Arabidopsis thaliana: one gene and its partner. The protein of the gene in region 2 interacts with the protein of the main gene of each other region in a pairwise test. Each region holds a gene or a part of one and is shown on either strand. Other genes may lie near its edges.

Region 1 (4,962 bases), on a different chromosome or scaffold from region 2:
CAGGGAGTGTTAAGTCACTGATAAGCATGCCATGCTTCATGTCACATGCAAGCATACCTGCAGAAGTTCGTGAGGCCAGAGGTTTGACGGAAGATCTTGTCCGTATATCTGCAGGAATTGAAGATGTTGATGATTTGATATCTGATCTTGACATTGCCTTCAAAACCTTCCCTCTCTAGTTTTGGTTTGTTCTTGTCTCAGCTTTTGTAGTTTCATAGGTTCTTGAAATAAGGATCTATGTAACAAACCATAAAACATAATTTGGTGTTTGAAAACACATCAAGCAATAAATTCATTATTGTTAGATTTGTTATGTTACTTGTTTGGGGTTAAATTCTGTATTATCGGCTTCAAAGCCAACAACATAAGTAGTACGGATCTTTCTTCAAAGTGAAATACAACTCTTATCAAGATTCTTGATCTGTGGAGCAGGGAGAGGACACAGTGAGCAACTTGTCCTGAGGTTAGGTAAGAAACAAGAACATGGAACAAACCATGACACATCAGCACCTGAATTTACCAGATTTATACCTTTTTGTTCGCTAGGACAGGTAGGTATACATGATAAAGTAACATTGTGAATTGAATTGAAAACAACAGTTGGCAAATAGAGTGACATCTACAGATCCTTCATACCATTTTCAGATAGTCAAGTTGGAGTGTCTTTAAAGCAAAAGTAAAGAGTGAAACAAAACTGGGAACTGGGTTATTAACCATGTAAGATTTACTGATGTACTTATAAACATTATCCCCACATACAACATCATCATCATATTCCCCTCTCTGCATTCCCTACTGAAACCATGTACTGTACCAGTAGAAGCATTCCTAAGAAAATCTACAAAAATCTAAATCAGAAACCGAAAAAAGAAGTATCATAGCTGGTAGATCAGACAGCGGTTGCGATACCGTCGAATCTAGGACGTGCTCTATCAGTTGAAATCCCTTCTTCCACTGACTTCCTCTTGTTGTTGATACTCAATGTTTGCTCCTCTTGTTGAACTAATAGCAGATCTTGTTGCAGAGGCAAGATTTCAATTTCAATGTTTGTTGAATCTTTAATCTCTGGATCAGCTACTGCAGTGGGGACTCCATTTTCGACTTTTGAAGTTGTCTCAATCTCCTCCAGCTTCTGGTTCTTCAACTTTGTTTTCATCATATGAGGTTTCAACTTGTTAAGATCAGCCAATCTTACTGGTTTCAAGAAAAACTCTTCAGCTCCTTCTTCTAAACATCTGTTCATGATCAAGACACAAGAAAATTTTCAATTAATTCCCGGGGAAATGAGAGATTGAAACCACAATCTAAAGGGGAACAAACTCAAACTTCATAGGTTCAATCTTTCTTTACCTGCTGATTCTTGCAGGAACGTTCTCTGAGGACATGATAACTACTGGTATATCTCTAAAAGCTGATGATTCCTGCAAAATTGTAGAACAAGATAATTCCCAGATTAATCAAAAGATTTTATTTATACACATCAAATAGCATATAATCTCATCTCCTATTGACATTCTCTCACTTTCTTGACTGAAAATATGAAAACTTTCCTCTTAAATTAGGAAAAAAAAGTACCTTGACTTTCTTGAGCAAATCATAACCAGTCATGCCAGGCATACAATAATCTGTAATTATAAGATTCACTTCAACTACCTGTTGAAAGCAACCAATCAAACACAACAACTTCAATAACAACAACAACAACAACAACAAAAACAGAAGAAAAAGTGATTTACAAAAATAAAAGAGCAAACCTGGTGATTAACAGGAGCCTTAGAAAACGCATTTGGGTCGTTACTATCAGTACTTTGTCTTAAACCCAGAAACTCCAAAGCCTTTGAGCCAGAATCAACAGTTGTTACTATAAATACCAAACACACAGAAAAAAGCTTAGATCTTTCTTCGACCATTATCAAACAAAGATTGAGACTTTTTTCTTGTAACACACATTTATACCTTGACACGAAGACTTTTGAAGCAATCTCTCAATAAGTTTCCGATCAAATAAACTATCATCAACAGCTAAAACATGAAACTGCGATTCTGCTGCCATACCCATTGCAGAAACTTGAAGATAACAAATAAAGAAGATCTTATCTCAAATCGATGAACCCAGATGTAAAGTCTTCGACTTTTTTTTTTTTGTTCTTCACTAGAAACAATCAATTATTTTCTTTCCTATCTCCGGGATTTGATGCGATTTTAGTTTTAAATTTACGATGCTGAAGCTTAGGTGAGGAAGAGAAATAAAGAGTCTGCACTTAAAACAAGATCTGATTGATTATAACTCTTTTTATTTTTCTTCTTCTACCAAATCTTTGCAAAAGAGAGAGGGAAAAATGAATAGAACTAAATTAGCTTTGAATTGTGGAGAAAGCAAAGTTACTAATAGAACAAAAAACAAAATATTTTGTTTTTTGAAGAAGACAGCGCAGAGGAAGGAAAAAAGACAAAGTTTCCTAAATAAAATAAAATAATGAAAACAAATCTTTTGCAGGATTTTTAAGGATTAGATAATAGGTGGCCTTTGCTTTATATACTACTACCACAGCCGCTTGATTTTAGTATTTTACACCATATTTGAAAATATACATATACAGTATATCATATATGCATAAATCTAAAAATCCTTTTCTATATAAAAATTTTATACAAAAAATATGTGTATAACATATCACATCATCATCTTCATTTTTTTAATAAGTTTTATCATAAATACAAAAAAATATAAGTATCGACAAACATATAGATTGTGAATGGTAACAAAAACCGCACCGCAACAGTGCTTTAACAGTATCAAAATCTTTATATATACATATGTATCTATATATTTTTGTAACTATTTGAATCGTACCGCACTTCTCTCGTACCGCAAAACACACTTTCCATGTACCGTATTTCTCCCGTAGTCTAATTCGTAACAAACATATTAATCGCCTTTCTCAAAAAAGAGAAAGAAGAAAAAGAGTCATGTAAACTTAAAAACTTTTTCTCCTAGTTTTCTTCATAATATACTAAAATGTATCAAGTCTTCCCACACTTTGAAGTCTAAATTCATGAAGAAATAAATGGAGAAACGGGACCCGCCAAAATCTTGAGAGATACAGATGACGTCATCAAAGATGCCTCTTTTTTTGTTTATCATATATCATTAAATTGTTTACTTGTTTTTTTGCTCCAATTAAATTTAATACGTAAATGGAGAAAACAATATTCAGCAAAACGTGAAATAATGAGCAGTTGGGTTTGTGGTGGCAACGACATGGCAATTTTAAATCGATTCTCTTCCAAAGATTTGTTTCCCATGGTCATGCCCCATTCACCATCATCATGATTGCCATTATCAACATGTCCATCTACTATATCCGATACGTGTCTAACTTTTGGGGTCACACGTCAAAATCTATCCAACAAGACTTATTCGCCTAATCACAATGTTTAAACACGGTGATTAAGCTCCCATTATGCGTTCAAGGCATCCAACTGCCACGATTTATATCAAACCAGCCAGGATAATTGGGAAAGATCAAGCCCATCGATGAAAAGAAAAAAATATATATCGGTCATGGATTAGGGTTAATTTCCAAAGTATTTTCGTTTATTCTTACGTCTATAGCCGAAATGAAATCTTCTATCAATTAATCCGAAATACTACCGTAATTCAACATGATGAGTCCACAAGTTTTTTTTTATAAAAAAGAATCGACTTTTTTTTAACACAGTGGACCAAATAAAAGACATGAAAGAATAAGGCACTCAAGTAAAATTCAAAGAAGGTGAGGAAGGAGAAATGAGAAAAGGAATCAAAGGATGGTGGATTTGACCAAAAAGATATGGCTCGATCGAGTTGTCTATTTAATGGTAATCCACAATGTCGGGAAGACAATGCTTTTAATCCACAATAGTAGACAATGGATCTTCAATTTATTACATATCCTCTCTTAATATATCCACCATCCATTTCTCCTTTATGAGTACCCTCTCTCTCTCTCTCTTCTTCTTCTTTCTAACACAAACACCTTCATCATCATCACAGCTTTTGACCCTAGATAAAACATTACGAGACACTCGTCACTTTTAGACCGGCTGTTTTATCAAAGTATTTGGGTTCGAATCTGACCAACAATGATATTCAGTTGGAAAAAGGACGTAATAGTTTTTTCTCACTGACCTAAAAAGCCGAAAGAAGAACCAAACTTATTGACATTTCCATCTCTAGAACATGTTATAAATTTATTATTAGATTGTTAATTCGAACAAATTATTTGTGTTTGTGTTTATTAGTTCAAACGTCCAGTTTACTTTACAGAAAAAAATAAAACATTTGATATTTATTAGATAAACACGATAATTTAATTAACATGTTAATTGTTAACGTAAGCATATATAAATTAGGTACGAAAAATAATAAAACGCTTAAACAATATATGATAATTGGTTTTTATGTAGATAGAAGTGAACTGAGAATGTCATATTTGGTGGATGTGTGTCATAGTGACATGTGAAATGGACCACATGCAATGAAATGAACGTAATCCGAGTAGTTTTCGGGCGAAGCGAGGTAGTTGAGTGGCTTATATCCCTCGTTATGATATTTGATCGTTTTAAATTTCATTTATTTTTGTGTTTTTAGTATCCTTTTGTGGGTTGTTTTTGCTCGATGATATCTTCGATATACTGCATTCAGGTCTATTTTCATTTATATGCCGTGTATCATCTAGCTATATATATAGAGAGAGTAAGAAAGTACTCTTAGTAATTACCAAAATAGAAAGAAAAGTAAAGTAGAAAAGTTGAATACTAGATAGGGTACTTATATATATGTCTTTAATTTAACTCGGATGTAGTTAAACTAAAATTAAAACTTAACACACCATAATTCACTGATAAAAACTATTGGATAGAATTAACTTTTTTGAAGAGTATATAATTAAAAATGAATATATATAATAAAAGAAGGCC
Region 2 (6,389 bases):
ACAACAAGGAGAAGTTTCTGGCGAAGTTAGGGTTGGCTCGAGTTCTCAATTCCAACTCTTCTTCAGCTGATCGTGAGACGGGTGATGGAGATTACTTAGTCTCCACGCCCTTTTGCTCACACAAGTTTTCAACAACTTGCTGGAGTGAATATCTCAGCGATGCTCTGAAGAAGAACAAGGAGCAGAGAGGACTCATCTCTTGCCTTAGCCAAGACTGTGTCGCCTCTGTTGGACCCGATACGATCGAGCAACTCACAGAGCCAGTGAAGGAGATGTACGAGAATTATATTCTCGAATCCTTCATGGAGTGCCACAAGGCAACGATCAAATGGTGTCCTGCTTCGGGTTGTGAATACGCCGTCGAGCTTCAGGAGGATGGTAATGAAGATAATGTCATCAGTGTGGTCTGTTTGTGCGGCCATACCTTCTGTTGGACATGCGGGCTCGAGTCACACCGTCCGGTGTCTTGCAAAAAGGCATCAATTTGGTGGACGTACCTGTTGGATCAGTCAAGAAGCATTTCTTGGATCCATACAAACACCAAAAGTTGTCCCAAGTGCAAGATTCCTGTGCAGCAGAATGGTGATCCTAATTACAGACTCATTAATTGTATCTGCAGGTTTGTTTCTTTCTGAGCTTTAAAACATGTGCAAAATATTATATCTTTAAACTCATTACTATGTTTTCTTGACTGTTATGCATCATCAGTAATAACTTCTGTTGGATCTGCTTGCGCACGGAGGAACAGCATCAGGGGAACTGGAATTGTTCTCCAGTCGCTGTTCCAGCTGCGGGTCCTTCTACCGTTGAATTCTCACAGATTCTCCACCTGAATCTGTGGGAGGCAGGTCATGAAGCATTGAAGAAGGCTAAGTCCAAGCTGAGAGCCTTAGAGGAAAAAATCATTCCGAAACTGATCGAGAACTGCGGAGCGACCGAGCTGGACATTAGGACAGTAAGAGAAGCAGGGATGCTTAGTGTTCAGTGCAGGCAGGTACTGAAATGGAGTTGCGTATTTGATTACTCTATAATCGAGTACGAAAGCACGAAGAAGCAGTACCTGAAACACCTCCGAGCTCTGGCGAGCACAATGCTTTGTATGCACGAAGGGAAGCTTGATGAGTTGATACATCTAGCCCTCTCACCTGAAGATTTCACTAACTATAAGCACAAGTTGGAAATCAGTACAACATGCACTGGTAACCACTTCGATGGATTCATCAAGGAACTGGAAGATGGTAAGCCTGAAGTGAAGGCTGATGGTTACGAGAATGAACCAGGCAGTCGCTGGTTCTGTGATAGGTGCACGTTTGAGAACAGCTGGGTTGATAAACAGTGCAAGATGTGCTTTTTCCCCCTGGACTATCATCCTTCTCCTCAAGTGGCAGCAGCTCCTGAAGACCTTGGAAAATCGGAGTGAGAGTGAGTGATGAGTAAAGGATAAGTCTCATCAGTGATTGATGCTGGTTTCGTTTGGTGTTTTAGCTTCTCTTGTGTTGTTTTGTGTTTAAGAGTCTCCTTTGTTTCTCTTTCTCCTCTCTGTGTTGGATCATCATCCATCATATTGGTTTAAGAGTCTTGTTGCATTTGTCTTCTAAGTCTTTGTTGTTGTTGTTGTTGTTGTTGTTGTTGTTGTTGTTGTTTGTTGGTGTTTATGTTTGTGTTTCCTTGTTATAATATTTTTTGTAACATGAAAATGCAAATACAAAACTTCAGAGGAACAATAAAGTTTAAATCATGGTTTCGAATATAATGTCTATTGAAGAACAAAAGGTGAATTTCAACCATACATCAAATATATAAAATAAGAAAAAATCCGGTGGCTGAGAATATTTAACGGTAATGTAACACTCTGCAACAGTATCTTCTTCCTCTACACTGACACATTTCGTCGAACACCTTTCGCTAATGTCAGTGAGCAAGTTTCCACATCTCTCTCATGGCGTTCACACTATCAATTTCCTCAATGAACCAGTGTTTTTAAGTGTGTTGCTCCCATCTCCCTCTCGGATTCGAGTATTCTCGTCCATTTCCACCTCCGGGATCGGCGGCGGGGTCGCCAAGTGCCATGGAACGAGACATAGCGGCGCCGGTGGTAGAGGTGATAACGGGTTGAGGAGAGATAGTGGATTAGGTTTCGACGAGAGAGGAGAGAGAAAAGTGCGTTGTGAGGTTGATGTGATCTCGTGGAGAGAACGGAGGATAAGAGGCGAAATCTGGGTCGATTCTGATTCTCAATCTGTTTGGAATGTTCTTACTGATTATGAACGACTTGCTGATTTCATACCCAATCTCGTTTGGAGGTACTTCCCTCAGTAATACCCACTTTTTTCTTTCAGATTCTTATCATTTTGTTTGTGTTTATCTACAGAATTCTTCTGAATAATCTCTAAAGATTCAATTTTTATGTTATCTGGTTCATGCCATTGAAATTGTTTATACTGAATACAATGACTATACGTCTCCAAGAGAATGCTGAATCTCCATGCTTAGTTACCTCTCTTTGTTGATGGTATATTGTTTCAACTTGTAGTGGAAGAATTCCTTGTCCACATCCAGGACGTATATGGCTGGAGCAACGAGGCCTTCAAAGAGCCTTGTATTGGCATATTGAGGCTCGTGTTGTCCTTGATCTCCATGAGTGTCTAGATTCTGTGAGCACTCTTAAGCCTTTACTTTTCTCTTGCTGAATGATTGGGATTGAGTCTAAAACCTGCAAACTCTTCCGGATTCTGTGGTCTCTTTTTTTATGCATATCTTAGCTTTTGTTAAGAATCAAGAGGTTTCCTTTACACTGGATGATCTGTAATCATGGTTGATAAGGAGTTGCCTGCTTCCCACTTTCTCTAGATCCTTATTCCTAACCTCTTATTAGTTCTAGAAAAAACAATCATAGTGAGGTTTACTCTTGAAAATATCCATGGTTCTAATGAGTTCTCTTTCAGCCTGCTTTGCACTCATTGCATTGGTTACTTAGGGTACAACAAGATGTTATTTGTAACAAGTAGTTTTGTTGTTTGGTTAATTAGTTAATCTTTACTCTTGAGTTCTTATATTACATTTGTTTCTCAATCCATACATCTCTATTAATGTAGTTTTTCCTATTATCTTATTAGCCAAATGGTCGTGAGCTTCACTTCTCTATGGTAGATGGTGATTTCAAAAAGTTTGAGGGAAAGTGGTCTGTGAAATCTGGTATCAGGTACACTCATTAATCCCCGTAAGAAGTTTGTGTGCTCATCCTATCATCATTTAAATTAAATCCTCTATAAATGTGTATCAGAGAAATTCTTTCTGTAAACAGTCTGTTATGCATTTCTAACCACGGATCATTTTGGAACCATCTATGTTCCAAACATTTGTTTTTCTCTTTCTCCAGGTCCGTAGGAACTGTCTTGTCATACGAAGTAAACGTAATCCCAAGATTTAACTTCCCTGCCATTTTCTTAGAGAGGATAATCAGATCAGATCTTCCTGTAAATCTCCGGGCCGTAGCTCGCCAAGCTGAGAAAATTTATAAAGATTGCGGAAAGCCGTCAATAATAGAAGATTTGTTGGGTATAATATCTTCACAGCCAGCCCCTTCTAATGGTATTGAGTTCGATAGTCTTGCTACGGAGAGATCTGTTGCCTCCAGTGTTGGATCATTAGCTCATTCAAATGAATTGAACAACAATTGGGGAGTGTATGGAAAAGCCTGCAAGCTTGATAAACCTTGCACCGTGGATGAAGTTCATCTTCGTAGATTTGATGGTCTATTGGTAAGTAGTTTGGCTCAAAACTTACTCTATATACTATGAAAAAAAAAAGTTTTCCCATCTTTTGTGTTTATGAGTCAGTGGTTTTTTTCTTGGATGAAGGAAAATGGAGGTGTTCACCGATGCGCCGTTGCTAGTATAACAGTTAAAGCTCCTGTTTGTGAAGTTTGGAAAGTTCTAACGTCTTATGAGAGTCTTCCAGAGTAAGTACCGAACACATATATTTATCATATCCGGGCTTCACTGTTCTGACCTTAAGGAGGATTTTCTTGTCAATCTTCTTCAAATATTTGTTGTGTTGGCTTATATATATCTCTTGTTCTTCTGCGTTTATTGTTCATGAACCTATCAGGATAGTTCCAAATTTGGCAATCAGCAAGATTTTGTCACGCGATAACAATAAAGTCCGAATACTTCAGGTATGAGCATTCTCATCCACGGTTACCTTGTAATCAAATTTGGCAAGGACTAGAAGGAATCATTCTACAAGTACTTGTATTGGGTACTAACACTGGAAAAATCTGAAGAGAGAATTTGGTTGCCAAAATATGACTCATAATTTGCTCTTTCATGATTCAGAAAGGCTCTGTATTTAGTCTGGTCTTGAAGATCAAAATTCTGATACTGGCCAAAGCCAATGTTTCTTTTCTTGATTTCAAGAAATTATATAACTAAAACTGAATTCTGTTTTCAGGAAGGATGCAAAGGCCTGCTTTACATGGTGCTTCATGCAAGAGCTGTTCTCGATTTGCATGAGATTCGTGAGCAGGAAATCAGATTTGAACAGGTTGAAGGAGACTTTGACTCGCTAGAGGGGAAATGGATTTTTGAACAACTAGGAAGTCACCACACACTTCTCAAGTATACCGTGGAGTCCAAAATGAGAAAAGATTCATTTCTTTCTGAAGCAATCATGGAAGAGGTTTGGCTTACAATTGACTGAGTTCAGTGCAATCTTTTTTTTTTCTTATTGGAACCACAATGTTTTCTCTGAATCTTTTCAGGTTATATATGAAGATCTTCCGTCAAATTTATGCGCTATCCGGGATTACATTGAGAAAAGAGGAGAGAAATCTTCAGAGTCATGTAAACTGGAGACATGTCAAGTTTCAGAGGAAACATGTTCTTCATCTCGTGCCAAATCAGTTGAGACAGTTTACAATAATGATGATGGTTCAGACCAAACTAAGCAGAGACGGAGGATTCCTGGTCTACAAAGAGACATTGAAGTCTTGAAATCAGAAATTCTCAAGTTCATATCAGAACATGGACAAGAAGGATTCATGCCCATGAGGAAGCAGCTTCGGTTACATGGAAGAGTTGACATTGAAAAAGCCATTACAAGAATGGGTGGATTTAGGAGAATAGCTTTGATGATGAATCTTTCACTTGCTTATAAACACCGAAAACCGAAAGGATATTGGGACAATCTCGAAAACTTGCAAGAGGAGGTAAAGTTTCTAGACATGTTCAAAAATTAAAACCACTGTTGCCATGGTGTTTACAAGAGCTTCTCCCTCTGCATGTGGTTGCAGATAGGAAGATTTCAACAGAGTTGGGGAATGGATCCATCATTTATGCCGAGCAGAAAATCTTTCGAACGAGCAGGTACAAACAGTAAACTCAATTTAAGCTCTGTGTGTTCTTCTCAATCGGATTGGTCTGAGAAACATTTGGTCTGTTGTTTCAGGTCGTTATGACATTGCTCGGGCGCTCGAGAAATGGGGAGGATTACACGAAGTATCTCGTCTTTTAGCATTGAACGTGAGACATCCAAACAGGCAGCTAAATTCTCGTAAAGACAACGGTAACACGATACTGAGAACTGAATCTACTGAGGCCGATTTAAATTCAACGGTTAATAAGAATAATAAACCTTACGTCTCTCAAGATACCGAGAAATGGTTGTACAATCTTAAAGATCTTGATATCAATTGGGTTCAATATTGAAGCATTAATTATGTACATTTCACTATTTGTGTAGTCTTGTAACTCGCAAAGATAAACATGTATTTATGTAAATTGTAACATTGGATTGAAATTATCTGATCTCTTTTTAATGTTTCATCTGTTTTTAGTGTTTATATTTCACTTTGATAAAATAGAGTGAGAGAGCACCGAACAATAAGGAGGATAATAGCAAGGAACAAAGAAGTAAAGGTAAGTCAATGAAATTTGATAGTGATGGTTTTAAGAAAAAACGAAAGTCCCATCATTGTCTTCCTTCAATGTGAAATGAAGTTACACGTAATTAGAAACAAACTTCTTTCTAGGTTTTAGATTATTACAGAACCAAGTCTCAGAGGTCTTGACTCGTGACTGAAGAGAAAGGGTCAAGATATTTGGATGTGAATTGTGATGTGAAAAAGGAAAAAAAATCGAGATTTTAAAAGGGAAAATCAATAGAAAATATAAAATGCATGCATAAATCTAGAAATGATAGGTGTTTAACATTGAAGGCAAACTATGAGACAATCTTGAATCTTACTACTTTATACAATAGCTCTATATGTTATGACTTATAATAATTGGGACCTTCCTCGAGATTTAGACAGACCCTCTAACAGCTGAGAAACATGCATGTAAACAACATTTTTCTTTTTGATATAGATTAATCAGGAGAAATGATGA

The links. Proteins that work in one complex are often made in the same cells at the same time.
Region 1: the proteins of AT5G08720 (region 2) and ARR9 interact in a two-hybrid assay, tested with the Arabidopsis thaliana proteins (one large-scale study listed by BioGRID).

What each region holds. Positions count from the first base shown.
Region 1 is NC_003074.8:21,107,156-21,112,117, reverse strand, and holds ARR9 (response regulator 9), read right to left. Parts: upstream 3,060-4,962; 5' UTR 2,855-3,059; exon of another isoform or gene 2,814-2,854; intron 2,705-2,813; exon of another isoform or gene 2,256-2,704; 5' UTR 2,060-2,255; coding exon 1,957-2,059; intron 1,862-1,956; coding exon 1,755-1,861; intron 1,654-1,754; coding exon 1,576-1,653; intron 1,422-1,575; coding exon 1,351-1,421; intron 1,236-1,350; coding exon 890-1,235; 3' UTR 551-889; downstream 1-550. Other genes in the region: CBL (cystathionine beta-lyase), read left to right, coding at 4-179. UniProt on the Arabidopsis thaliana protein: Functions as a response regulator involved in His-to-Asp phosphorelay signal transduction system. Phosphorylation of the Asp residue in the receiver domain activates the ability of the protein to promote the transcription of target genes.
Region 2 is NC_003076.8:2,840,855-2,847,243, reverse strand, and holds AT5G08720 (polyketide cyclase/dehydrase/lipid transporter), read left to right. Parts: upstream 1-1,713; 5' UTR 1,714-1,908; coding exon 1,909-2,303; intron 2,304-2,533; coding exon 2,534-2,654; intron 2,655-3,116; coding exon 3,117-3,202; intron 3,203-3,379; coding exon 3,380-3,761; intron 3,762-3,860; coding exon 3,861-3,961; intron 3,962-4,110; coding exon 4,111-4,177; intron 4,178-4,452; coding exon 4,453-4,680; intron 4,681-4,762; coding exon 4,763-5,209; intron 5,210-5,293; coding exon 5,294-5,366; intron 5,367-5,448; coding exon 5,449-5,708; 3' UTR 5,709-5,836; downstream 5,837-6,389. Other genes in the region: ARI16 (IBR domain-containing protein), read left to right, coding at 1-619, 709-1,420.